Linked DNA regions of Sus scrofa. The protein of the gene in region 3 binds, or shares a complex with, the protein of the main gene of each other region. Links are inferred from orthologs where the notes say so. Each region holds a gene or a part of one and is shown on either strand. Other genes may lie near its edges.

Region 1 (3,500 bases), on a different chromosome or scaffold from region 3:
TCTTCTCAGATGCACCTCTTAGAATCATGACAGTAAAAACAAAAATAAACAAATGGGACCTAATCAAACTTAAAAGTTCCTGCACAGCAAAGGAAACCCTAAACAACACAAAAAGACACCCACAGCATGGGAGAAAATCTTTGCAAATGAATCGACTGACAAGGGATTAATCTCCAAAATTTATAAACACCTTCTGCAGCTCCACACCAAAAAAACAAATAACCCCATCCAAAGATGGGCAGAAGATCTAAACAGACAGTTCTCCAAAGAAGACATACGGATGGCCAAAAAACACATGAAAAGATGTTCAACATCACTCATGATTACAGAAATGCAAATCAAAACCACTATGAGGTACCACCTTATACCAGCCAGAACGGCCATCATCAAAAAGTCTATAACCAATAAGTGCTGCAGAGGGTGTGGAGACAAAGGAACCCTGCTAAAATGTTGGTGGGATTGTAAATTGGTGCAACCACTGTGGAAAACAGTATGGAGATTGCTCAGAAAACTAAAAATAGAACTACCATTTGATCCAGCAATCCCACTCCTGGGCATCTATCCAGAGAAAACCATGACTCACAAAGACACATGTACTCCGATGTTCATGGTAGCACTATTTTCAATAGCCAAGACACGGAAACAACCTAAATGTCCATCGACAGAAGAGTGAATCAAGAAGGTGTGGTACATATACACAACGGAATATTACTCAGCCATTAAAAGGAACGAAATACCGGCATCTTTAGCAACATGGATGGCCATAGAAATTATCATGCTAGGTGAAGTCAGTCATACAATGAGACACCAACATCAAATGCTTTCATTGACATGTGGAATCTGAACTTCTTTGCAGAACAGATACTGACTCACAGACTTTGAAAAACTTATGCTTTCCAAAGGAGATAGTTCGGGGGGTGGGGGATGCACTGGGGTTGTGTGTTGGAAAGCCTATAAAATTGGATTGTGATGATTATTGTACAACTATAAATGTAATAAACTCGGTGAGTAATAAAAAAATAAATTAAAAAAAAATCCAACCTGTGTTAGAACCACACCCACTCACTGTTACCATCTATGCTGATTTCATACCATATGGCAGTGCTGGCCTGCAAAGCCAAAACTGCTTACTATCTGACCCTCTGCAGAAAAGGCTTGCCAACCCCAGGGTCCAACATCCAAATGAGAGGGGTGCTCCTAACAGACGGAGCAGAGCAAAGAGAAGCTAGGAAATTCTGGAACTCAAGAAGGAGCGTTTCATATGGAAAGAGCCATATACCAAAGCCCAGCAGCAGAAAAGAAAAGCCCCACACAGTACATCACTGAACAGCATCAGAACACTGGCAATAAAGACAGGCAATGAGACCAGATCCAACTAGTTCCCAAAGAAGATAGGAAAACGTGAAATAATCAAAATAAGCAATTCTCAGACAACCAGGAAACAGGGAAAATGTTTAACTTCACCTGTAACCAAAGAAACATGAATAAAAAACAAGATTTCATTTTCAGCCATCATATTAGCAAAACAAGTTAATCTGATTAACTGGTTAGTAATAAGCACTGTTCCCGAGAGCACAGACAGGGTTCCACCGAGGTCTTCCAGCCATGCTGACCCTGGCTACTGTTTTCTTAGGGTGTCTCCCGATGACACAGATGTCCACACTCCTTCACTAATGCTCAGCTGTGTCTAGTGCACTGTCCTAACAAACCTGTCAATCAGCGCCATGTACAGCCACCCTCAGCAGCTAAAAGATACAGAGTCTAGGTTCTGTCCAAAATCCCCAAAAGGAAGACAAAAGAACCAAACTCAGATATACTAAGGGACATTGGACAATTAAAAAAAAAATACTGTCCAGCCATTTTTTTTTTTTTTTGGCCACACCCTCAGCATGTGGAAGTTGCTTGCCATAGCAGTGACAATACCAGATCCCTAACCTCAAGGCCACCAGGGAACTCCCAAACCCAGTCATTTCTGTATTTCTCTCTCTTGCTCTGTCCTGCATTCCTGCACGTGCTCCATGGAGCAGCAGCCCCAGGAGTCAGGGAGTGTGGCCAAAACTCACCTGGTACCGGTCAAGGATTCTGAAGTCCTGACAGGTTGTCCTGTATGTGGCTTGTCCAGCTGGAAGCCTGGAAACTCCTCCATCTTTGGCCCCATAAATCCCATCCACTAAGAGAAGCGCCGCATTGACAACCTGATCCAAGTCAAAGAGCGGTAACCCTCGGTCCCGCTTTGCCTGCCTGACGATCAGCTTCCGCTTCAGCCGCCGGGCCTCTGGGGTCATGGCCACGGCACCAGGACAGGCTTCCAGGCGCTTGAGGAGCAGCTTCTCCTCGTAGATGCTCACAGGGGTGAACTTGGGCCCTTTGGGCTTACGGTCCTTCTCCAGCGCCTGCTTCCTCTTCTCTCGAGCCCTCGTTTGCAGGGATGTGTTGGAGTCTGTGTCTTCACTATCAATGTCCATCCTGTCGGGCTTCTCCTCCTCACTTTCCACCTCCTGCTTTATCTGCTCAGGGGCCCTGACCTTCTTTCTGCCCCCGACCCCTGTCCCTGAGGCGGAAGAGCAGGCAGGGGGCGGGACGTACTCCATCCCAGGGTCTATGACGCCGTCGCCTTCCAGCTCATCATCATCTGTGTGCAACAGAAAAGAGGAGGGAAAATGCAGGCCCACCACCCACGAGGGGGAGCGGACCCACTGACATGGAGGCCCACACACAACACAGAACCTGAGAACCGTTGGTCTTACCGTGAAACAAGGCTTGTGGCGGCATCACATCTGGAATCAGATCAGCTTCTGACAGCAGGCTGGGTGTGGCTGAGTGGGAGGCGGGGGTCCCAGGGGCAGAGAAATCCAGAGACGGAGAAGGAGATGGGCTTGTCAGTGGGGTGCGGTCGGAGGAGCTCAGGGAAGAAAAGTCGATCACTTCTCCTTTTTCCAGGATCATATCTGGCCTGCGGCCTCGGCTTACAAATTTTACGGGGGTGGATGAGGTGCTCCGGTCCAGAAAGCCAGCCGCCTCCTTCTGGGCTCTTCTGATGTCCTTTGCTTCCTGAGTCCGAGACCTTTTCTCTTTCAATTCCATGGCAGATTCCACAGGATTCCGACTTGCCCGTTTCCTAAGTCCCTCAACAGTAATGATGGGATCTAAAGTTGGTTTTGAGGCTGCAAGAAAAGAATAAAATATCTATTTTTTTTTTCTTTCTCTTTTTTTTTTTTTTTTTTTTTTTGCTTTTTAGGGCTGAACCTGCAGCTTATGGAAGTTCCCAGGCCAGGGGTCGAACTGGAGCTACAGCTGCCAGTCTATACCACAGCCACAGCCACAAAGGATCTAAGCTGCATCTGTAACCTACACCACAGCTCTCAGCAAAGCCAGATCCCTAACCCACTGAGTGAGGCCAGGGATCGAACCTGCAGCCTCATGGATACTGGTTAGATTCCCTTCTGCTGAGCCACTACAAGAACGCCTGTTTAAAATTCTTTAAAGCTCATTAAAAATTT
Region 2 (4,291 bases), on a different chromosome or scaffold from region 3:
ATAAAGATATATTACTTTAGTTCAAATATAGATCTTATGAATTGTGATTACAATATAGCAAAAAGATGAATGAATCACTGTACAAAAAACTGAAAAGATATGAAGTTCCCACAAAGGCACTATATTGAATGCTATATGAAAGAAATTTCCACCCTTTGACCAGGAATATTTAAAGTCCATATCAGACAAGCATAAGGAACTAAGTTTTGTGTAGGCTGCACTAGCAGATGAGTTTATATTAATTTAACTAAAGTTTTACATTAAGATTGCTACATTAATCTTAATTAATTTAATGCCTATAAAGATTTTGTTAGACAACAACTTATGTATGAAAGTAAACTATACTTTCACAGTTCCAAAGAGATCTATAGTTGGTTATAACAAATTTATATATACATTTTGGGATAATGCAAATCCTCAACCAAGACAAAGCAACAAATTTACCAAATAGTAACTTATAGAAATTAATTTATGTTTGGATCATAGTCTCATTTCAATACAGCAGAATTATGTAAGCTTTCAAGTGAAATTCAAGATACTTGGTCTTTTAAGAAAACCATATAACAACATTAAAAATTAACTTTAAAACTATCCCAATACATTCAATTATTATTCAACAAATTCCCTATTAGTAATATGAATTCTATGCATTTTTAGGCTATAGAACTTGTAACTCTAAAACATTCACTCGAAAATGTATAAGTCAGCCATTAATATGGACCATTTAAAATATGCATTTCAGTAAAAACTTTATAAATATGAAAATCCAAGCTAATAATAAATAACTCTTCAGCTTGTAAAATGGACAATCCAGAGGCAAGTAATAAAGTTAAAATTAGTAAACTGGAAATCTAGGATAGAAAATACTGTTTAAACATTCAATTTTATGTTTCCTATTGAGGAGAGCTAATAATACAATGATACTATATAGAATGAACTAGGCATTTTACAACATACAGTTAAAGAAATTCCTTAAACCAGTTTCAAAAAAAAAATAATGATTCCCACTAGGGGCAATTTTATAAGTATAGTACTCTGGCTTTCATCCTTATCTTTATACATCTCAAAATATAGAGTATTATCAAAATGGCTAGCAGTTAATTGATGAGATGATTTTTTTTCCCCAACACTTGTATAAATGGTTCCTTCACTGTCAATAAAACTCACCAAATATTTAAACATTTTTGAGGTGACATAAATAATTTGTAATCATACTTTTCCTACAGAATAGTTGAATGTTTAAAATGTTAAAATAAGTTTTAAAAATTCAGTATGCCAACTGTTTCAAAAATGTTTAAATTATTTCTTAATGTTATTTAAAAAAATCTCATCAGTGGGGGGAAGTCTGTAAACTACAGGTGAGCATTAACCTTTCATCTTGACATTAGGATATAAAAAAAAAAAAACCTTAAAGTTCCAAAGTCACATCATAGAAAGTTCTCAAACTTTTAAACCATTTAGAGGTTTTAAGTCTTGACACTGAAATATTAATGTCCCTGTCTCAAAAAAATATTTAAGTCCTTGAAAAACAACTCTTTTAGCCGATTCTATTGATAATTATTCGCTTACACCAAATTGTGTATTTAATTTTGAGTAATACTCTTTTTAAGTCAGAATATATTAGAATTTTTAAAAATACTGAAATAACCTTTTAAAAAACTGATTATCCATCCACCGAAGGCTTTTAAAAGTAATTTTCACAAATCAAACGCTCTATTTTCATAAAGGATGTTACCATTATCTTCCACACAAATACCTAATCCTATCTAAGATTTAAAAAAAGATTTCCTTTTAAAAGCAGACAAACGGTATTTTCAAGTTCGCATTTTAAATTTCCTTTACATCTTACATCATGAAACGAAATAGTGACTTCACTGGAACAGAGTAAAGAGCACTTTTATTTGTTCGATTCTATAATGATATTTCTACAAAAGCTATTTATCAGCCAGTTAAGCTAGTTAATATTTAATAACTTGTCAACAGTTGTGATGCAAACAGTATAAACCAGGGATAACTTATCCAACTTAACACTAGAAGTGGTTGAATTAATTCCTTTTCTCTTCCTTCCCGTTTTGAAAGGGGAAGAGATGCAAGCAACAGCCAGAAAGAAAGAAGAAATAAACAAACCCAACTGACTCCTAACGGTAAATCACCCAAAAAAGGCGGAGAGGGAGCTTTTCCAGAAATCTCAGGCCGTAGACTAACCTATCAATTTCTATAATGAATGAATTGGAGGAAAAGGGATCCACAGCGCTAGGCGCCTCCCAAACCCTCACAGCTTTTCCGCACGCATTCTCTTCGAGCTTGTTTCTCTCCTAGCGGGGTTTCACTTACACTATCCTCATTCGCTCTTGGGGAGAAGAGTTGCAAAGAAATCTAGCCTGCAACCGGTCTTGAACTAACCCACGCGCGGCCAGCCTCACTTAGACCACAGGCGGCCGGGCCCGAGCTCCTCCCCCAGCCTCGGCTATTCTGGGCCGGGTCCCACACCCCGCAGGCCTCCGCCGCCCCCGCCTCCGCCGGAGAAAGGAGAGGGGGAGGGGCCGGACGGTTCCCAGATCCCTACTCCCAAAGCCCACCACTCACTTGTCCAGCAAGGGTATGCAAGGAGCGAAAGACTTCGCAGACCACCTCTTGGGAGAGGTTGGGGCTGCAGCTCCGCTCCATGCTCCTGTCACCGAGGGTCGCGCGACTAAGCTCAGCGGCGGCAGCCATGACACTTTCGTAGGCCACCCCCACCAGCACCAAGGTGTGCTCACAACACACCCCTCCCTCTCCTGCCTTCGTCGCTCCCCGATGATGTAAACACACTGCGTCTCATTTAGAGCGAGACTGTAAGACCCCACCTTCCCTACATGACTGACAAGCATGTGCACCAATAAGGTGCAACTACAGCATTCCTTCAAGGACCGTGAGCAAGAGATTGCCAACCTGGGCTTGGCTTGCTGCAATATTTGAGATGGTGATTTGGAGTCGTTATCTAATGAGAGTTAGCTTCTTGAAGCTTAGCTTGACGCTTAGATGTTGATTATGAGTGTTGCTAAGAGAAAACTTGTAGTTAAATGTTAGAGTTTTAGTACCAAATTAAAGTTGAGATTTTACCACGGCACTTTAGAAAGATCGCTGGTCAGGGACGCAGTGGATCCACACATATTTCTAAACACTGAAAACACACAGAATTGTCATAATTGGGTAGAACATTTTCGTCTATACACAATTTAACATCACTTTTTTTTCATGAGAGAAAGAGGAGGATATAACCACCTCCCCCCCAAAATACCCCTCTTTTATGCCTCATTTACTATCAAGGGAATACTACTTTAAATCTGCAAAATAATTCTGTCAAGTTTTAAAACTTGCATAGTTGCTGTTCTCTGAGTGATATGGTATACACACTCATCTAAAACTGTTTCAAAGAAAACAATGTCAACATGATTCCAACAGGAATTTAACCCAAATAAGTAATTGCGTGAACACCATCTTTGAAAATAAAGATAAATCCGAATTAAAATTCAACAAGTTATTATTTATCCAGATAACTGTATTAAAAGATATCTGAAGGGCTCTGTAGTATTCCGGGGTCAAGCATTGAAAATTTTGTTGTCCAATTGAAAAAAAAAAAAAAGTTTAGACGAATGCTTAATGTTAAACTCTATTCAAAACCACTTGAAAAATAAACATCATGTTTAGATATGAGGGATGAAAGATTTAAAATTCTTAATTCTAATTGTCTAATGCGTTTACAGTAGGAGAAGCAGAGTTGGAAACTTGCACAATGTGTATTCTTCAGTTTTAGAGTAGGCTGAATGAAAGGGGAGGAATAAACCATCAAGGAACTTGGATTAGGGGCAGTAGAGATAAAAGAATGCCTTTGACCTGTCCCTAGGGAGCCTCTTAATTAGGCTTTCATTTCCAAGGATCAGCAGGCTTGACAGGATCTTAAGTAATCTCGTCCGCTCCCTTGTTCACAGCAAGATATAGAGTTTATAATCCAGCCTATGCCTAGAGACATCCAGAAACAGATTTCACAATATCTAATCCCAAATTGAGCAACCTTCTTCCCATTCAAGCTACTCTTCCCCGTGTTAACCTAAATCCAAGAGTCTTTGCAATGTTAAGGTATTTTCCTGGCCTCTAGTTCTCTTGTTAGAGAATAATTCTAATGGGGTAACTGGAAGTTTTTGCTTTATAACATATTACCAGCCAGTTTCAGATAATTTGTTTTCTTCTAGGTATAAAGGGTTGGTTTGTTTGTTTTTCAGATATTCAGACCCTGGTATGAAACACACTT
Region 3 (3,500 bases):
GCATAAAGAAAGGGGGCCTAAACCTGGGGTTTGAGTCTTGCTTCTATAAGCTGTGTGTCCTCAAGCAAACAGTTCCCTTTTTTGAACTTCAGTCTTCTTAGGTATAACATGGGGTTAACCACTGTCTTTGCCTTTAACGAGAGGATGTGTAGAAAGTCCTTTGCATAGGCCCTAGCCAACACTCAGCAAAAGTAACTGTGGAGCAGTGGCTACCTTGCGGGGGAGGCTAAGAACTGGGAGGGGCATGAGAGGGGCTTCTAGAATACTGATGATGTTTAATTTTGTGATCTTGAGGTTAGTTGTATAAAGGTGCTCATTTATGAAAATTTATCAAGTTGTACTCTCATGCTGTGTACCTTTAAATGTATAATATGCTCCAATAAAAATTAAAAGTAAAACAATGAAACAGAAGGTAGATACCAGTTCCTTTTTTGAGTTGGGGTGCTCACCTCCACCAAGGCCTGCAGGAGGCGCTGTGTCAGGGCACCAAAGGGGCACCCATCTTCTGGCTGCTCATGCTGGGCCTCAGATTTCTTCAGCAGGGCATCCACGTCTGAGGTGGGCAGAGAAGTGGTAGACAGACAGGTGGGCTTAAGTTCTGGGAACTCAAGTCCTGGCCTGGGGTAGGCAGGGAGGTGAAGGGCTTACCTTTAGTGTCTAGTTCAGTCAGTGGCCCCATAAGGCCTTTCTTCTTGTCAGCCATGGCTGCTGCCCGAGCCCCGTCCTTCTGCTCCTCCAGCAGGTCCTCCTGTGCCCAGCGTTGGGAGTAGTGCTTCCCCAGGGGCGGGATCTGTGGGAGACATCCCACCCGGCCCCAAAGAAGTGAATACGGGCCAGCATGCCTGGGGCGTGCGTGCTCTCTGTGAAGTGGGGATGGCCAACAGACTCTTTGTTCATTCTTTACTCCTTCACTTCTCTGTCTCCCAAGTAGCTCACCCAGGGACAAGGCCTGAGCATGGTACAGGTGAGAAGAGACAAAGGAGATAAAATCTCTACACTCACAGTCTAGTAAGGAAGCCAGGTACAAAAAGAAGTACAACACACACGGAAGACGAAACGGAACAATTTCCAAGTATAAGGTGCAGAATAGTATGTATATGTGGACCATCTCAGGTGACAGCTATTGTCTCCGAGAGAACTAGAGGCCTCAGGGTCAGAAGTGAGAGGGAAATATCTTTTGCGTTGCTTGAATTTATTACTGCTTCTATGGATAACTTTTTCAAATAAATTCTTTAAAAATTTAGGCAAGTGACAGAGGCAAGTCAAGGTGCTGTGGCAGTGCATCTTCTGCTCGGGAATCTGCAAAGGCATTCTGGTGGAAGTAATGTGTGATCAGGGTTTTGAAGGGTGTCAGATTGCCAAGGGGAGAAGAGCATGTGCAGAGGCCCAGAGACCAGCAAGGACCCTGGGGGGGGGTGCTGCTGATAAACACAGCAGTGAGGAGGGGGCGTGGCCAAGGAAACAGGAGAGAGGCGCTGGGACTGTGCCACCATGGACTGAGATGCCTGGACTACTCGATTCTGGGTAACAGGAGCCAGGGAGAGGCCAGAGAGCAGGGTCATGTCATGAGCACATCTGATCATGACAGCTGACCTATTGGAGAGAGCTCCCCTCCAATGCTTCTCTGTATTTTCTACATTTTCTTTAATGGAACCTCTTTTATTTTCCTCATAAAAAAAGTAAACTTTTACACATCAAAAAATTTAAAAAAAAGAATCCCTCTAGAAGGAAGAAAGTGTTAGGCTGTTCAGGTAAAGGCTGATGAAGGCTTGAGCCAAAGAAGGGCAGGTGATGAGAGAAACAGACCTCACTAGGGAAGAGGCCTTAGGTCATGGTGACCATTTACATAGGCTAGAAAGGAGAAGGTGACGTTAGTGCCTGTATGTTGAGGTGGGTTAGCAGAGCAGACAGGAGGCTGGGCAGCACAGGGGAAGGAAGATGATGCAGAGCTTAGGGTCTCAGATTCTGAGGCAACTCTGAGCCCTCTTGTTCTCCACATCTACCTAGGCTTGGGGGTCGCTACCTTGTAATGTTCAGCCTCATCTTCTGGGGGTTTCAGTAGCTCCTCCAGTGTGCGCACCTCCTCACTGGTGATGTCAGCACAGTAGGGCTCCACTGAAGCCCAGAATCTGCAGGGCGAAGCAGAGCCTGAGTGAGGGCCCCTCCCCCACCAACCTCAGCCCTGGGCCCCACCACAGCCTCCAATGCCCGAATCCCGAGGCCCATCTATGTTCTCTGGCCCAGAACCTGTTGGGGGCGTCATTCTTGGGGATACGTGGCACGTCGATAGGGTCATCAGTGAATTCATATTCCTGGATCTTGGGCTGAAGGTTTTTGGATTTGGGTCGCCCAGGGCCAGGGCCCGGCCCATGTCCTGCCTTCCCTTCCAGTTTCTGCTTCTTGGGTTTCCCATGTTTGGGGGGAGCTCCAAGCTCATGGTCTCGACCCAGCTTCAGGAATCGTCGGTCACCTTTCTTATCCTGCCAGTCGGTGAGGATCTGAAATTCACACACTGTCACTGAGAGGGAGAAGGGAAGACACAGGCAATTCGTCCTCCCAGAGAAAAACTGGGATCTAGAACTCAATTAGGCTCCAAGTCTCTCCTTATTCCCTTTATGTCTAGCAAATTCCTACTCATTCTGCAAAACTCAGCTCCTTATCTGTGCCCATCTCACAGGATTTTATTCATATTCTTCTAATCATTCTATTCACTTGTCTATACTGACTCACCTATGTAGCACCCAAGCCAGTTACACAGTGTTTAGCAGGTCAAGCAAAGAGATCACATCTCAGGAAAACATGCTGGGAGTAATTTTTTGGTATAGGAAAGCAAGCTTTCCAGCAAACCTTCTCTTCAAATATCGCCACAACTGGGAAGCCTTCTCTGCATCAGTTACACAGCTTCTTAGATGCTAAAACACAACTGATTATGCCACAGCCCACTCAAAAAGCTTCAATGGATTCCCAGGGACCACAATTTTTTTTTTTTTTTTTTTTTTTGCTTTTTAGGGCCACACCTTTGGCATATGAAGGGTCTCAAGTTAGGGGTCAAATCGAAGCTGCAGCTGCTGCCCTATACCACAGCCATAGCAATGCAGGATCTGAGCTGCATCTGCAACCTACACCACAGCTCATGGCAAAACCAGATCCTTAACCCACTGAGCGAGGCCAGGGATCAAACCTGCACCTCATGGTTACCAGTCAGATTCGTTTCTGCTGCACCATGATGGGAACTCCCACGAGTTAATTTCATTCTTTTTTTTTTTTTTTTTTTGCTTTTTAGGGCTGCACCTGAGGCACATGGGGGTTCCCAGGCTAGGGCTCCAATCAGAGCTACAGCTGCCAGCCGACGCCACAGCCACAGCAACACAGGATTCAAGCCGTGTCTGTGACCTACACCACAGCTCACGGCAACACCAGATCCCCAACCCACTGATGGAGGCCAGGGATTGAACCTGAAACCTCATGGTTCCTAGTCAGATTCATTTCCACTGCGTCAC
Region 4 (3,500 bases), on a different chromosome or scaffold from region 3:
ATTTTATCCCTGCCTAACCTGTATTCCAGTTCAGTGGTTCTCAAAGTGTGGTCTCTGGACCAGAAGCATCAGCATCACCTGAGGAGTTACTACGAACAGGACACTCAGGACCTAAATCAGAAAAATTGTGGGGGTGGGGCCTACCGATCTGGTTTAACAAGGCCTCCAGGGGATTCTGATGCATGCTAAGTTTGAGAAACACTGCTGTAACGCAACTAATTCCAGGCCAAGTGAATCTCAGGTATCAATGCTCACATGGCCTGCTTTATCAGAGTACCCCAACCAGGACAAGGACCATCTGGTGCCTCTCTTCCAATTTAAACATTCTAAAAATAAAAGTATTTTGTTTTACCATGAAGTATTAATTTTAATACTCTATTTTAAACGAATACCACCGGTGTAAAAACTTGAGCCTCTTCATAGGAACCATCTGCACAGTAAATACATGCTGATGTCAGATGTCAATTTTTTCTTTCCCTTCGTGCCTCTGAATACTTTTTCCTTAAGGAGGAACTTGTCCAGCTTATGCCATAACCTCCATAAGGGCAGGGACAAAAATACTCATCTAGGTATCCTTGCACATGGCCTAGTACATAGTAGGTACTCAATAAATGTTTGCTAAGTGAATGAATGAAATACTAGGTGGCTACTTTATGGAAACTGACCACCTGATGTGTACTTTCATAAACAAGGGAAAATGAAGCTAAGCCTGGAACAGGAAGCATTTAGAAAAATGTACCAAGGATGTGCAATTAGCAAACCTGTTAACAGTTTAAATTATAACCTCATTTTGTTGCTGTTGCACTTATCTCTATTCTCAATGCCTGGGACATTTAAGGCCCTCTAATGTGGGCCTTGATTTTTGGTCTGTACTAAAGGAGTGCCCTAAATCTCACAAGACTTGTATTCTGCACCCCCAAACCAAACCTCAGCAGTATTTAACATACACACATTTGCTAATTACTCCTAATCATCCCAGTGCCACATCATTTAATAAATACTGATTGAGACTGTCAGGTGCCAACCAGGGCAGATACTATGACGGGTGAGTAATAGCAGTAAAGTTGTTCAGGACATGCTGTAAAGTAGAAAGGTGCATCTTGTCATCCTTTTAGAGGCTGTCCATCCAGGAGAAGCACAACGTGCAGATACAGAGTTCTGGCAAAGGAACGGACCACTGTCCTCTGATGGCCAAGCCGATGCAACAAACAAAATGGCACAACCCTGTCCTTGGACAGGTCCTGTTTGCTTCATTTACAAAGGAGAAAATGAAAGAAGCAACTGAAAAATGTACATAGTGAAAAAAAAAATCTGAGTGGAAATCAGAAAGTAAAGACAAAAAATGGGGATCCATGGCACAAGTCTAGAGAAAGACTATGTGGCCGAGATAGGAGAGGTGCTATCTGAATAAGCAAAAAGGCTGTTTGCCACAGACCCCTCTGATTTTTTAGGAGACTTCATGGATGGCAAAAAGTTTGGGAAAAAAGGTGAGTTGTGCAGTGTTTAGCTATTTCCTATTAGGCATTAGCACTGGATTCCCAAAGACCTGAACCAAAAGTGAGGCAAGTTAAAAGAAAAAATTGACATCAGCATATATTTACTTGTGCGTCTGTTCAAGCACAGCTTTGAGGCTTAATACCATTTCCATCTTCATAACGTCCCTGCAAGGTCGGTCAAAGCAGTAGGATTCTCAGTTGTGCAAGAGAAATGGCTCTAGAGAAGTTAGGTCACTTGTCACACAGTAAAGACAACAGTCAGGGACAGTGATTTGTCTCGATTACTACCCCAGCGTCATCATGTTTGTGAAAGGTGGCTTGGTTGTTGTAGAAAACTATAAAACCGAATGCAAAAGGAAAATGCAAACTTATTTGGTTTAAATCCAGTTCCACTGAAATCAGGAAAATCCACCGTGTTTAAGAAGAAGAGTCAAATCGCTGTTTACGGAAACCAAATGTATCATGGTCTGTTGTTGGGTCTTGTAGGTCTGGGCAGAAAATCTCCCTCTTTGCCTTTTATATCTTCCTCATCCTCTTCTTGCAGCGCTGGTTGAAAACAGGGGAGGACCCCATGAAGCTGTCAGTGGAGTGGGAGCCATAGCTGCTGTCTGAGTCATCGGGGCTCTGGGGGATCCCAGCTTCACTCATGCCTGACATTGGCTCCTCAAACACGTCGCTGCCCAGCACGCCGTGCCCGGAGACATTGCCTTCTTCACTCTCCTGAGGCTCCATTTTCACATGGGCCAGGTTCCAAAAAAGGGAAGCATTTGCCTCTGCACCTAGGAATGGATGAACATAGAACTAACTAGCAGTAAGGAAGGCTGGAACAAAGCAGAAAGCACACACCACCCACAGCTAACCGATGGCCCTTGAGCTCAGGTTTCACTCTGATTCTCTACTTGGCTGGAGAATTTGCTCAGAAAGTTACCAGCTTTGAATATCTTCTTCTCCACTTCCTCACCCTCCTTTACCCCATCCCATCCACCTCCATTTTCCCTGAACAAGGGAAGTGGAGAGATTCATGGTTCAAAGGCAGGCACAACCATGGGCTCTCCATCGGGGGTTACATTGATTTGCCTGCCCTTTGGTGAGGCTGTCATGTTTTCCTGCCTTGTGTTTGGGTCCCTGGTCCTCTCTCATGTTATGAAAAGTTAATGATCCAGTACAGAATCCTGACATGAACCCCACATCTGCAACAATTTCTTTTTTGGCTCTCTTGCTCCGTGTGTTCTGGCAATACTGTTCTGTGGTTATTATGTCTTTCATGGTGAAAGGCTCTCTGCCCAATACTTTACAAAATGTGGCTTAATTCTGTTTATGCCACTCTGGAGGACTGGCTATTTGCATTATTTGTGCACTGGTGAAATGACAATTTATATTTGTAAATAACTGAGTATCTAGATTACTTTGCAATCGAATTGACTTAGGGATGGAGTCATCTGGTTCTGAAGGTAATCACGGTCTGTCTGGAAGAGGAGGCCAGCTGCCTGTCACTGGGTAGCCCTGTTTCAATCCCTTCACTTCTGATTTGTTTGGGAGCACTTTAGAAAGACCCCCAACTATTCAAGCATCCTTGAGCAATTAACGTTATTCCATCTGGAATAACTTCTATCTGGAAGTTGTCTTCATCAGTTGAGTACAAGCATCAGGAATAACCAGTACAGAATACAGAGAACAGGAGGCCATCAGCCCTCCCAAACTGGGTCAGCTGAATTAACTGGTAATCAAGAGGATAACACTTACTGCATCTACATCCTAACTAGGAATTATGGGAAAGATGCCTACAAAGCTGTGCAAGTTCTCTCTTTACTAATTACAAAGAGAATGCTGGTATCTGGATCAGTGAAGCGCTATTTGTTTTTAGACTTTCCATCCTCCTGCCCATTATCTCCACTTTTGCTCTTCCATTTCCTGAATTTGATTCCAAAATGCAAGAAGTACTGAGATTGGTAGATCTCCCAGAATCAAAATGGGTAAGTTGATTTCCCTTACTTGAAGCCTGTG
Region 5 (4,254 bases), on a different chromosome or scaffold from region 3:
AAATTATTTTATCTCTATAAGCTTGTTTCCTCCTCTGGAAATGAATATGATACAATCATATCTACTTCCTAGAGTTGTGAGGATTAAAATAATCAATATCCACATAAATAATATACCATGGCACCTGGCCCATGATAAGCCCTCTACAAAGGCTATATATTTCTAATAGGCAACAACTGGTTCTCTCTGTGCAGCATCACTTCTCTCCTCAGCCCTCCTTCCTTAGGGAAGGAAAGTGACTCTCCCACATTTCACACGGCTTTGGGGGAGTAGGTTGTTGCAAATCATAACACTCCGTCCCCCACCCCCATAGCAGCTAAAGCAACTAAAACTCTTCTTACAGAACCTGAATCTTGTAAGATATACAAGGACAGAGGGCAGTTAGAGCTCAGTCATTCACTAGCCAAAGAATCTGGTTCATGAGCTCTGGTTGTTGAGATACTCATTCCCAAAAATGGCACAAATTTTTTTTTTTTTCCATTTCTCTATCTTTTCAAAAATACTTTAATACGAATGAACTTTTATCACTAGAAAACTAAAAAACCATGGAGTTCCCGTCGTGGCGCAGTGGTTAACGAATCCGACTAGGAACCATGAGGCTGCGGGTTCGGTCCCTGCCCTTGCCCAGTGAGTTGTGGTGTAGGTTGCAGATGCGGCTCGGATCCTGAGTTGCTGTGGCTCTGGTGTAGGCCGGTGGCTACAGCTCCGATTCAACCCCTAGCCTGGGAACCTCCATATGCTTCGGGAGCGGCCCAAGAAATAGCAACAACAACAACAAACTAAAAAAACCCTATCTATTATGACAAATTTTGTTCACTAATTTATTCTTTGAACAAATATTTAACAGTTAAGTACCATGTACAAAGTATCTTTATTAAGACATAAATGAACTCATATTTCACACTAAGCCAATATCACCTTCTATACTCCCATAGCTTTTTTTTCCTTTTGCAGCCACACTCTCAGGATATGCAAGTTCCCAGGGCTAGGAATCAAACCCAAGCTGCATCTGAGACCTACGACTCAGCTTCGGAATGTCAGATCCTTAACCCATTGCACCACTGTGGGAACTCCTCCCATAGCTTTTTTTTTTTTTTTTTTTTTTTAATTTAGGGCTGCACCTGAAGCACATGGAGGGTCCCAGGCGAAGGACAGAATCAGAGCTGCAGCTGCCAGCCTATGCCACAGCAACGTGGGATTCCAGCCATGTCTGTGACCTACACCATTACTCAAGGGCAATGCCTAAACCCACTGAATGAGACCAGGGATTGAACCCACAACCTCATAGATACTAGTCGGGTTCTTTACCACTTAGCCCCGATGGGAACTCCTCCCCATAGCTTTTTATCTATCCCTTCTCCGGCATTTTTCACACTGCTCTGTGAAGATTACTTATGGATGCATATTTTTCCCATTTCTAGCCTAAATGAAAACAGGAACTACATCAAATACAAATTTGTATGTCTTAAAGTACCATACACAATGCCACACAGAAAGAACTCAATAAACAAAAATGTAATGGACAAATAAATGCTAATTCTACAAAAAAGTTAATTCATCCTTAGTTTTCCTGCAGTGACTTCTTTCACTGGATAGTTTTGGCTTGGAGAATAATTTATCATTAAGAATATACAACACTGTCAATGAACTTGTCTTTTTTAGGGTAGGTTGGGGTGGTTCTCCCTCTGGTCTAGCCCCAGGAAAATGAGTCTGAAGAAAAGTGAGTTTAGTAAGTGGTATCATGCACTTAATAATAAAATAATGGCCAAAACTTATTGAACTTTTCTCATATACCAGGTACTGTGGTACCACTGTATGTGGATCATCTCTGAATCCTTACAACCTTCAGAGACATGTTGCTTTTTCAAGGAGGGAAAGGAAATGCTAAAAGATTGTGTTACTGGCACAATGTCCTAGACGTAGTGAATAGCAATGTCACTTCAGAGGTCAACTAGAGATAGTCAAGTAAGGAACTTTATATAAAGTCTCGTGAACACTCCACGTTGTAAGTGCAATACTGCAATAAGCAGAATCTTTTTTTTCCCCGTCTTTTTTTCACACAGGAGACATTTCTGACGCTAATACCCACGAAAGGCTGGGTGCTAGCTCCAAATTAACATCTGCTTTGTTCAAAGAAATTACTGGGAGGAGGGAAGGGACGTGAAGATTACTCACTCACTGCAGTTCAGAGGACAGGGGCAGGCTTGGAGTTTTGCAAACAAGATTCGAAGCCTCATTTTGTTCCTTATTAACTGTGATCTTGGGCAAGTCATTTTACTGGAGGCTCAGACAAGCACAGCTCTAAAATGAACCTGAAATATCTATTTGGAAGGCCTACTTGAGAACAACAGGTAACATCAACCATACGCTGTCGTGAGCCGCATTACGCCCTCCAACGCAAAGTCAGGAAAGCGGAGGCCGGAACCCAGCAGGACCGCCCAGGGGGCGGGAGTCGCCAGGCTCGCGGCGGGGCGGGGCACCAGGGCTCGGGCCGGGCACGCGCCGCCCTCCCCCACCGCACGGCGTGGCCCCCGCCTCGCGCCAGTCGGGCCGACTCACCCTCTCGCCCCCGACGCCGCTGGGGTCCGCAGCCCTCCCCCACCCTCGGGGAACCTCGAGGACGCCTTCTCCCCCTCGTCCCGCGAGAGGGGTTCGCGCCGCACCACGCCACCACCCGTGCCGCAGCGCCTCGTGCCTCACCTCGCCGCGTCCCCCTCTTCCGCGCCGAGGAAACGCCAGCCGTGCGCGCGCCCGGGCTTTTGCGTGCTCGCTCCCGAGCGGCGCAGGCGCGAGCGGGCCGCGCGCTCGCCGCCTCCGCCCAGGCGCCGCCCCAGCCGTCGCGGCCCCGCCGCGTGGCGCGCGCTCGCCGCCTCCCCTCTCTCAGCTCCAGCCCCTGACCTCGCCGAGAGCTCGCCGCCCGCCTCCAGCAGAGGCCTGGGAGGATGGGGCTCTGAGCAGTTTGCCAGACTTTTGAGTCGGACCAGTAATCACTTTTCCCTCGGGGCGCGTTGCTCGTCGCCGCAGACTTGCGGATGCGTGCTGCCGTTTGACCCCTCCAGAGTGCGGTGAGCTGGAGCGGGCCGGTACAGCCCCGCTTTTGCGTTTTGTAACATTCCTGCCACCCCTGTTGCAGCCTCAAAGGAAATGGAGGCTGAGGGACTGGGCCCAAGGACGGCGAGTGGTGGTCCCCCCTCGAGGCCGGGTCTTGCAGTGCTACTCATGGATTAACCAGACTGCCTGAATGGTTCAAGGGTACATGGGGTACGTTTGATTCAGATGCTTCTGGAACGTCGAAATTATCTTCTTTGGAAAAACCATCCTCTCTTTGGGCTTTAGGTGCCCAAATTGAGGCGCGATGATGAGAGGATGTGGTGGTCCACTCTGATGTCAGTCTTGAGGGCTAGGTATGTCCCAACATCTCTTGTTACTACTGCTAATTATTATTATTATGATAGCTGCCATTTGTCGAGTATTTATTGCATGCCAGGCATTGTACAAAGGAGTTTACATACATGGTCTCATTTAATCTTCAAAAATAACCTTATGGAAAAGACACTTGTAATATTATCATCCCCATTTTCCAGGTGAAGACCTTTAGACTCTACCTTGTAAATAACTTGGGTTCACACAGCTAGATGGTGTTGGGGAAGGGCATTCAAACAGTGGTTTGTCTTAGCCATTATGCTCATGCATCTATTTAGAAGTCTTTCTTCCATCAATTTGCCCAACCTCTTAGAGAAATCATTTACACCTGCCTGTGTGGCCTTTTTATTCATTTCTTAGTCATACAAGTTCGTTCTAAAAAAAAAAGAATATTTGCATGAACAAAAAATGAAAACCAGCTCCTACCATGTTAAATGGTTACCATTTTGCCTTACATTCTTCTAGATATTTTTCTATACTTCATTCAAAAAATATAAAGTAGTTTTACATTTGATATACCCTGGAAATCTATTTTCATTTATCAAATTTTTAATGAGTAGATACCAGTTCTAGGTGCTGGGAATTCGGTGAACAAAACAAAGTTTCTGCCTCATCGTGGAGGAGGTAGACAATAAGCAATATTTAGACAATAAGCAATACACATAGTATATAATAGATAATGCCCAGTAATGTGGCAATTTTTATGGAAAAAAAATCAGGATAAAGGGATAAGAGTGATGTGGGGACACTCTGTTGGATGCAGTAGACAAGGAAGTCCTCTTAATCATAAGCAGAAATCTAATCATTAAATGGGGGAGGCAGCTGTGTGAA
Region 6 (3,236 bases), on a different chromosome or scaffold from region 3:
GAACTGGGTGGGGGAGGGGGAACTCCACTCATCGCAGCATCTGAACCCCCAGAGACAGTGACTTCTGCACACATCAGGATCAAGGAGGCACCATGCAGACCTGTTCAGATCTGTAAAACTGGACAACTAGGGATCCTACTAGGGGGTCTGTTGTAACAATAAAGGACAGAAACCAGAATTATCACCCACCCAGCTCAGGGCTGTTGTAAAACTTATTAACTCCGCAATGTCAAGTAAAAGTTCTTCTGATGAAGGACATACAGATCCACTCAAAAGTGTTGCTGTAGGAGTTCCCATCATGGTTCAGAGGTTAACGAACCCAACTAGCATCCATGAGGACGGTTCGATCCCTGGCCTCGCTCAGTAAAGGATTTAGCATTGCCGTGAGCTGTGGTGAAAGTTGAAGACTTGGCTTGGATCCTGCATTGCTGCGACTGTGGTGTAGGCCGGCGGCTACAGCTCTGACTGGACCCCTAGCCTGGGAACCTCCATGTGCCATGGGTGCAGCCCCAAAAAAGACAAAAGACAAAAAAAAAAGTGTTACTATAATCTGAAGAGGAGTTCCTGTCGTGGCTCAGTGGTTAATGAATCTGACTAGGAACCATGAGGTTGCAGGTTCGATCCCTGATCCCTGCCCTTGCTCAGTGGGTTAAGGATCCGGCGTTGCCATGAGCTGTGGTATAGGTCACAGACTCAGCTCAGATCCTGTGTTGCTGCAGCTGTGGTGTAGGCCGGTGGGTACAGCTCCGATTTGACCCCTAGCCTGAGAACCTCCATATGTCGTGGGAGTGGCCCGAGAAAAGGCAAAAAAAAATAATAATAAATTAAATAAATCCGAAGAGTTCTTATCACAAAGAAAGAATATTTTTTCTATTCCTTTAATTTTGTATCTATATGAGATGATGGACGTTCACTAAACTTACTGTGGTAATCATTTCAAAACGCATATGACTCAAATCACCATGCTGCACACCCTAAACTCACACAGTCCTATGGGTCAGTTTTACCTCAAAAATACTATGAGGGGAGTTCCCGTCGTGGCGCAGTGGTTAACGAATCCGACTAGAAACCATGAGGTTGCAGGTTCGGTCCCTGCCCTTGTTCAGTGGGTTAACGATCCGGCGTTGCCGTGAGCTGTGGCGTAGGTCGCAGACGCGGCTCGGATCCTGCGTTGCTGTGGTTCTGGCGTAGGCGGGTGGCTACAGCTCCGATTCAACCCCTAGCCTGGGAACCTCCATATGCTGCGGGAGCAGCCCAAGAAATAGCAACAACAACAACAACAACAACAAAATACTATGAGGGAGTTCCCGATGTGGCTCAGTGGGTTAAGAAACAGGCTAGGATCCATGAGGATGAGGGTTTGAACCCTGGCCTCGCTCATTGGGTTAAGGATCTGGCATTGGCACAAGCTGCAGTGTAGGCCGGCAGCTGTAGCTCTGTCCAGCCCCTAGCCTGGGAACTTCTGTATGTCGCAGGTGTGGCCCTAAAAAAAAAAAAAGAAAAGAAAAGAAAAAAGAAAGGAAAAAAAAAACCCAACTAGAAGGAAACAGAAGTGTAACTGATTCTTGGGCTCCATTTGTCAACGGGTGTTTCCTTGATTCCGTCATCAACCACAACTGCCACCTTGTGGGAGGGTGAGGAACTGCCTGGCCATTAAAGGAGGGTGGGATGACGGGATCCAGATGAAGAAGCAGGTGGTGGGATGGAGCTGGGGCCAGGGGCATGGACTCACCTTGACCTGCTCATTTGAGGTGACAGCACAGAAGACAATCTCCGTGAAGCCCTGGGTGGGAAACATGCGGAAGCAGATCCCACCAATGACTCGCCCGTCCTTGATCAAGGCCAGAGTCTTGTGCTTCCTGAAGGGAGAGGTGTCAGGTCACAGGCCCTACCTGACCCCAGATACTCCCCAGGACCCCGCAGCTCTGGAGGCCTGAGCTATACTCAGTGCTGGGAACTAAGGAGCAAAACGTGCCCAGGGTTGGAGAGAGGAGTGTGTGTGTGTCTGCGCGCGTGCGTGCATGCACGAGTGCAGTGGAGAAGCCTAAGCGGAGGTGCCTGGGCATGGCAGCGCTGGGCTCTCCTGGGGACGTACGGGTCAAAGACGAGGCGGGCGATATACTCCTTGGGCATGCGCGGCAGCTGGTGCGAGAAGACATTCTGCAGCCCCACCAGCCACAGCAACACCCGCCGGTTGGCCTTGGGCGTGAGCGAGTTGCCGATGACGTGGAACTCGATGATGCCACGGCGCTCCTCCAGGCGGGCCGTCTCGTCCCGGGCTGCATTGGCCGACAGCAGGCTCGTCTGGGCGCCAGAGGAGGGGCGGTAAGCAGGGGGCTCAGGTGGCGAGGCCCCCTCCCCGACCGGTCAGGAAGCCAGGCGGCCCACCTCGGGCCCCAGCATGGCAGCAGGATCCGTGATAGTGAGCATGACCTCGTTGACCAGCTCCATGGGGATGTCGCCCATCACACGGAGCCGCTTGGCATCCTCCAGGGTCAGGTTCTCGGGGAGCTTCCTCTTCTCGCCTGCTGAGGAGGTTGACAAGGTCTCCCGGGGAGAGCAGAAGTTGGGGGAGGGGGGGACGAGGACGGAGGTCAGGGGTCAAGTACCCACCTGGCATGGGCTCGGCTCCTGCGGAGTCCAGGCTCAAGGAGCTGTTGCCACCCCCACCCATGGTGGGGCTGAAGATGGGGGCGCTGGGAACAACCGCGGCACTGACTGTAGCTGAGACACGAAAAAACCAGAGGATGGAGAGCGAAGGCGCTGGCGCATCTTGCAAAGGGAGGTGGACTCTCCCACCCACGGCCGAGCCCTCCCGTGCTTCCCCACTGCCGCCACGCACAGCCCCTCCTCCACAGAGGCGGGGAGGGCCAAGCCGAGAGCCTGCGGAGCCCGGCCGGCCGCACACGGCACATACCCGGCCGGGGCACCATCTGGGTTCCCTCCGAGGGCGGCATGGTGAAGCCCGACTCCCAGATCGGAGAGTTTGCCCCGTAGATCTCCTCCTCCAGCATGGACAGGAATCTGGCGGGGGAGAGGCACAGTCTGTCCCACAGCTCCATCCTCCAACCAAGGGAGCAGCCTGGGACAGACACTGGAGGGACTGGAGGCTGCCCTCAGGGAACTGGCGCCTAAGAACAGAGACGGCCTCTGCCTTCAGATGAGGAGGCACAGCCCCCTGCAATTTCTGGGAGCCCCTCACTGAAGGGAGGGCAACAGAATGATCCAGATCAGAA
Region 7 (3,500 bases), on a different chromosome or scaffold from region 3:
TGTGCAGTGGGTGTGGCCCTAAAGAGACCAAAAAGAGCGTTAGGTCATCCCCCTCCTTGAGGCTGCGCCTTGGCAGTTAGGGTCTTGTGTGCTTTCCTGGGCCTTTCTCACTAGTCTTTAGGCTCGTGTTGTGGTCCCTGGGGGACGAGTAGCTGACGGCCAGTCTCTCCTGACAGTGGCCTTCTTGAGGCGGTGGCTAAGGTTGATTGCTGATGGGGGTTCCTGGTGACAGGTCGCTAGCCCCTGTGACTTGTGGCTTCATAGATCCCCTTAACCCGGGTCCATCTGGAGCCGGGGTCCCCTCTGTTACCTAGAGAGGAGCCAGATCACTGAGGTCAGTGCCGCGTCCGCAGCTGCCGGGCCTGCTCGCCTGGCGGGGCAGGGAACCCAGGCTGTGTGCGTGGACGGGGAGGCGGCACCGCGGCAGCGTGAATGCGCACAGACCGAGCCGTGGCGCTTGTGAAGCCCTGGGCGTGTTAGCTCTGCGCTGGGTGCAACAGAAGAGTCATCCTCTTCCTTCTTCTGGCTGCCCCCACCGGCCGGCGTGGGGACACTCCCGCCAGGGATCAAGTCCAAGCCGCAGCTGCTCCCTGCCCCGCTGCTGCGCCGACGCCGCGTCCTTAACTGGCTGTGGCACATCGAGTAGAAGAGCCGTCGTCTCTTTTAAGCCGTCTGTTTTACTGTTTTCCTTTAAATATTTTGAGTGAGAATCTTAGAGCGTCGAGGCAGAATTTACCTTTAAACACGTTTAGTTTTGCTCAGAAGAGTTAAAAAACAGTACCCCCAGTGGCCGTATCCCTCGCTCAGCGCCGCACGGGCAGGAAGCGGACGTTCCATCGCGAGCAGAAGCAGGAGCTCACGCGCAGACCCACAGACAGGGAGGGGGCCCGCCACCCCCGGTGACACGTTGCAACATCTCCCCGGTCCGCACACGACTTTGCGTGTCTCTGACCAGACACACGTCTTAATCGGGTCTGGCTGCCGTGCTCTGCTGATCCCGGGAGCCACGTCCTGGCCTCGCAGAGGGTGGACCAGGGTCCCCTCCTGCTGCTTCGCCCTGGTTGGGATTTTTCCTTAGTTTGAAGGGTGGGCAGTGCATCCATAAAGTTGAGAAGGCTAAGTCATAAAAAGGTGTGAGTGATGTACCCAACCCCGCCCGATGCCCTGGGTACTGTCCTTGGAAAGAGTCTGAGGCGCCGCCAGCACAGCCCCTGTGGCCCCGTTTTGGCACAAGGGTGGCCACGCGTGCTCCCACTTCTGCGGCGTGGTTTCAGCTGCCTGGTGTGCCGGAATGAACCTGCGTGAGGACGCACGTGCTCCCTGGCTTCCTTGCTGCCTCCATCCTCTGCTCTCCGTTCCCAGAGGGTCGGGATGGACAAATGAATGAAGGTACCTGGCTGTGGTCACATGCGACCTGGCCATCCAGGACCCTGTTCTCTGTGGCTTCGCATGCCCCCCCGCTGCGTGGTGCTCTGAGCACCTGGTGGTTTCTGGAGAGCAGGCCGCTGAGGCTCAGGGTGGACAGCAGACCTGTCAGGAGGGCAGACCTCTCACGGCAGGTCTGCGCCGGACCAGGGATGGGGCCAAGACCTGGGGCCCAAATTCCTGAGCGTGCAGCCCAGGATGGGTGCAGGGGCGTGGGGAGAAGCCGCGGGGCAAGCTCGCCTCGCCCCTGGCTGCCCTCCTGGCGCCTGCAGCTTTGAGTGGGTGCCGGCTGGTGAGCGCATCCGTTCCCCCCGTCCCAGCTCCTTGCAGGGGCTCCTTGGCCCCGCGGTGTGGGGGCAGGAAGAGTATTAAGTCCCCCAGCGCCTCAGCAGCGCCACGAGGGGGGCCTTTTGGGGGAACAGCCTCCTGTGGCTCCATAACTCTGAGGACTTGCGGATCTGAGGTGGGAGTGGCCTGCCTGGGTCACAGAGTGACAGTGGCTGCTGGGTTTGGTGACTTGCTTTTGGTTTTTGGACCAGATGCTCCCTGGAAGGGATAGCGACGCACTTGGTGCTCACCGTGACTTTTAAAGAGGAAACCGTGCAGCCAGTCCACCTCCACGAGGCAGAGTCGAGTGTCAGCTTCTCCCCTTCTCCCTTCCTGGTGCTCAGAGGCCTCTGGGGTCAGGCCCTGCCCTGCTTCTGTGTTCGGGGCCTCTAAGCCCCACCCTGCGCAGGCCCCCTGGAGGGAAGAGGCCGCTGAGGCCCCGCGACGCCGGGCTGGTCACTGTGCCACGAATCCTTCCCTCCCCGCGGTGCCCAGCTTGTCAGCACGTTCAGCCCGAGGGGACTGGCTGGGTTCCCGTATGGCCTTCGAGGGGTGCAGAGACCACCCCGATCTCAGTCGGGGGTGAGCGATTCTGGGGCGGCAGGGAGCCTGTGCCGGAGCGGGGAGGGCAGAGAGGGGGCCGAGCGAGGCAGGTGGGGTGCTGCGCGGCCGCCGGGGGGAATGAGTGCGCATTTTGGGCAGTCACTTTCTGAAGTGGCTTTAGCGGTTGACTTAAGGAAGAGGCCTCTTGGCAGAAGGAAAGAGTGAGGGAGTTGTACAATTTCCTCCCATTAATAACCCTGTGTTCGCGGGTTACCTTCTGGAGGGATGCGTGCTTGCGGCCTGGGGCGGGTTTCCAGCTGCCTGCCGGACCGTGGGGGCTGCTAGAAGGGATGGCTCTCCTCCCCCTTTAAAAGGCTCTTTCCTGGAGTTCCCATCGTGGCTCAGTGGGTAATGAATCCGACTAGGAACCATGAGCATCCATGGGAACCATGGGTGAAGGATCTGGCGTTGCCGTGAGCCGGGGTGTAGGTCCCAGATGCAGCTCGGATCCCGCGTTGCTGAGGCTCTGGCGTAGGCCGGCAGCTACAGCTCTGATTTGACCCCTAGCCTGGGAACCTCCCTACGGTGGGAGCGGCCCTAGAAAGACCAAAATAAATAAAAAAATAAAAGTCTCTTTCCTAGTCATCTGACTGCCACCTAGGAAAGGGACATGCTGCTGGCTCTTGGATCTGAGGGGGGTCAAAGACAGAGCCTCGGCCCTTCCGTGGGCAGGTTTGCAGGAGGGAAGAGGAAGTGGCCTCTTGGACTGGTCCTGACTGAGCTCGCGCTTGTCTTGCTCCTGTCTGGATCCCCACTGGGTCCAGTGGATCTCGGGAGGCTCCTTCCAGCTCGGAAATCCTCGAGATCCCATCTGCGCGCCGGGGAGAACCGTGCTTGAGTGTCTTTGGGGAGGTGGCCATAATGACGTCATAAAGTAGTTCAGGGGACCCTGTGCAAAAATGTTAAAGGAATTTGCGCCTCCCCTGACTCTGGAATGACCTCTGCGCTTTGTCGTTGTAGGAAGACATGGCTGCTCACGTGGGCGCTTCCCGGACCCCCCAGGAAGTGATGGAGCATTACGTAAGCATGTACATCCACGGCAACCTGGGGAAAGCCTGCATCCCTGACACCATCCCCAACCGGGTGACAGACCACACCTGCCCCAGTGGAGGCCCCCTGTCTCCCAGCCTCACCACCCCCTTGCC

What was found.
Region 1: TADA3 (region 3) and KAT14 share a complex: the UniProt entries of both Homo sapiens proteins name them as parts of the ADA2A-containing complex. The link is inferred for Sus scrofa from reciprocal best matches to the Homo sapiens genes TADA3 and KAT14.
Region 2: TADA3 (region 3) and MBIP share a complex: the UniProt entries of both Homo sapiens proteins name them as parts of the ADA2A-containing complex. The link is inferred for Sus scrofa from reciprocal best matches to the Homo sapiens genes TADA3 and MBIP.
Region 4: TADA3 (region 3) and SUPT7L share a complex: the UniProt entries of both Homo sapiens proteins name them as parts of the STAGA transcription coactivator-HAT complex. The link is inferred for Sus scrofa from reciprocal best matches to the Homo sapiens genes TADA3 and SUPT7L.
Region 5: TADA3 (region 3) and TADA2A share a complex: the UniProt entries of both Homo sapiens proteins name them as parts of the ADA2A-containing complex. The link is inferred for Sus scrofa from reciprocal best matches to the Homo sapiens genes TADA3 and TADA2A.
Region 6: TADA3 (region 3) and KAT2A share a complex: the UniProt entries of both Homo sapiens proteins name them as parts of the STAGA transcription coactivator-HAT complex. The link is inferred for Sus scrofa from reciprocal best matches to the Homo sapiens genes TADA3 and KAT2A.
Region 7: TADA3 (region 3) and TADA2B share a complex: the UniProt entries of both Homo sapiens proteins name them as parts of the TFTC-HAT complex. The link is inferred for Sus scrofa from reciprocal best matches to the Homo sapiens genes TADA3 and TADA2B.

The regions. Positions count from the first base shown.
Region 1 is NC_010459.5:26,498,457-26,501,956, reverse strand, and holds part of KAT14 (cysteine-rich protein 2-binding protein), read right to left. Parts: intron 3,165-3,500; coding exon 2,748-3,164; intron 2,633-2,747; coding exon 2,064-2,632; intron 1-2,063. UniProt on the Homo sapiens protein: Component of the ATAC complex, a complex with histone acetyltransferase activity on histones H3 and H4. May function as a scaffold for the ATAC complex to promote ATAC complex stability. Has also weak histone acetyltransferase activity toward histone H4.
Region 2 is NC_010449.5:63,657,732-63,662,022, reverse strand, and holds the start of MBIP (MAP3K12-binding inhibitory protein 1), read right to left. Parts: upstream 2,801-4,291; 5' UTR 2,716-2,800; coding exon 2,587-2,715; intron 1-2,586. UniProt on the Homo sapiens protein: Inhibits the MAP3K12 activity to induce the activation of the JNK/SAPK pathway. Component of the ATAC complex, a complex with histone acetyltransferase activity on histones H3 and H4.
Region 3 is NC_010455.5:66,073,473-66,076,972, forward strand, and holds part of TADA3 (transcriptional adapter 3), read right to left. Parts: intron 2,499-3,500; coding exon 2,248-2,498; intron 2,130-2,247; coding exon 2,024-2,129; intron 791-2,023; coding exon 649-790; intron 554-648; coding exon 450-553; intron 1-449. UniProt on the Homo sapiens protein: Functions as a component of the PCAF complex. The PCAF complex is capable of efficiently acetylating histones in a nucleosomal context. The PCAF complex could be considered as the human version of the yeast SAGA complex.
Region 4 is NC_010445.4:111,538,170-111,541,669, reverse strand, and holds part of SUPT7L (STAGA complex 65 subunit gamma), read right to left. Parts: coding exon 3,489-3,500; intron 2,276-3,488; coding exon 2,013-2,275; 3' UTR 1-2,012.
Region 5 is NC_010454.4:38,873,702-38,877,955, reverse strand, and holds the start of TADA2A (transcriptional adapter 2-alpha), read right to left. Parts: upstream 2,801-4,254; 5' UTR 2,701-2,800; intron 2,700-2,700; exon of another isoform or gene 2,560-2,699; intron 2,376-2,559; exon of another isoform or gene 2,176-2,375; intron 1-2,175. Other genes in the region: ACACA (acetyl-CoA carboxylase 1), read left to right, coding at 3,385-3,404. UniProt on the Homo sapiens protein: Component of the ATAC complex, a complex with histone acetyltransferase activity on histones H3 and H4. Required for the function of some acidic activation domains, which activate transcription from a distant site. Binds double-stranded DNA.
Region 6 is NC_010454.4:20,641,493-20,644,728, reverse strand, and holds part of KAT2A (histone acetyltransferase KAT2A), read right to left. Parts: intron 3,025-3,236; coding exon 2,918-3,024; intron 2,725-2,917; coding exon 2,614-2,724; intron 2,529-2,613; coding exon 2,389-2,528; intron 2,305-2,388; coding exon 2,096-2,304; intron 1,860-2,095; coding exon 1,733-1,859; intron 1-1,732. UniProt on the Homo sapiens protein: Protein lysine acyltransferase that can act as a acetyltransferase, glutaryltransferase, succinyltransferase or malonyltransferase, depending on the context.
Region 7 is NC_010450.4:3,818,114-3,821,613, reverse strand, and holds part of TADA2B (transcriptional adapter 2-beta), read left to right. Parts: intron 1-3,315; coding exon 3,316-3,500. UniProt on the Homo sapiens protein: Coactivates PAX5-dependent transcription together with either SMARCA4 or GCN5L2.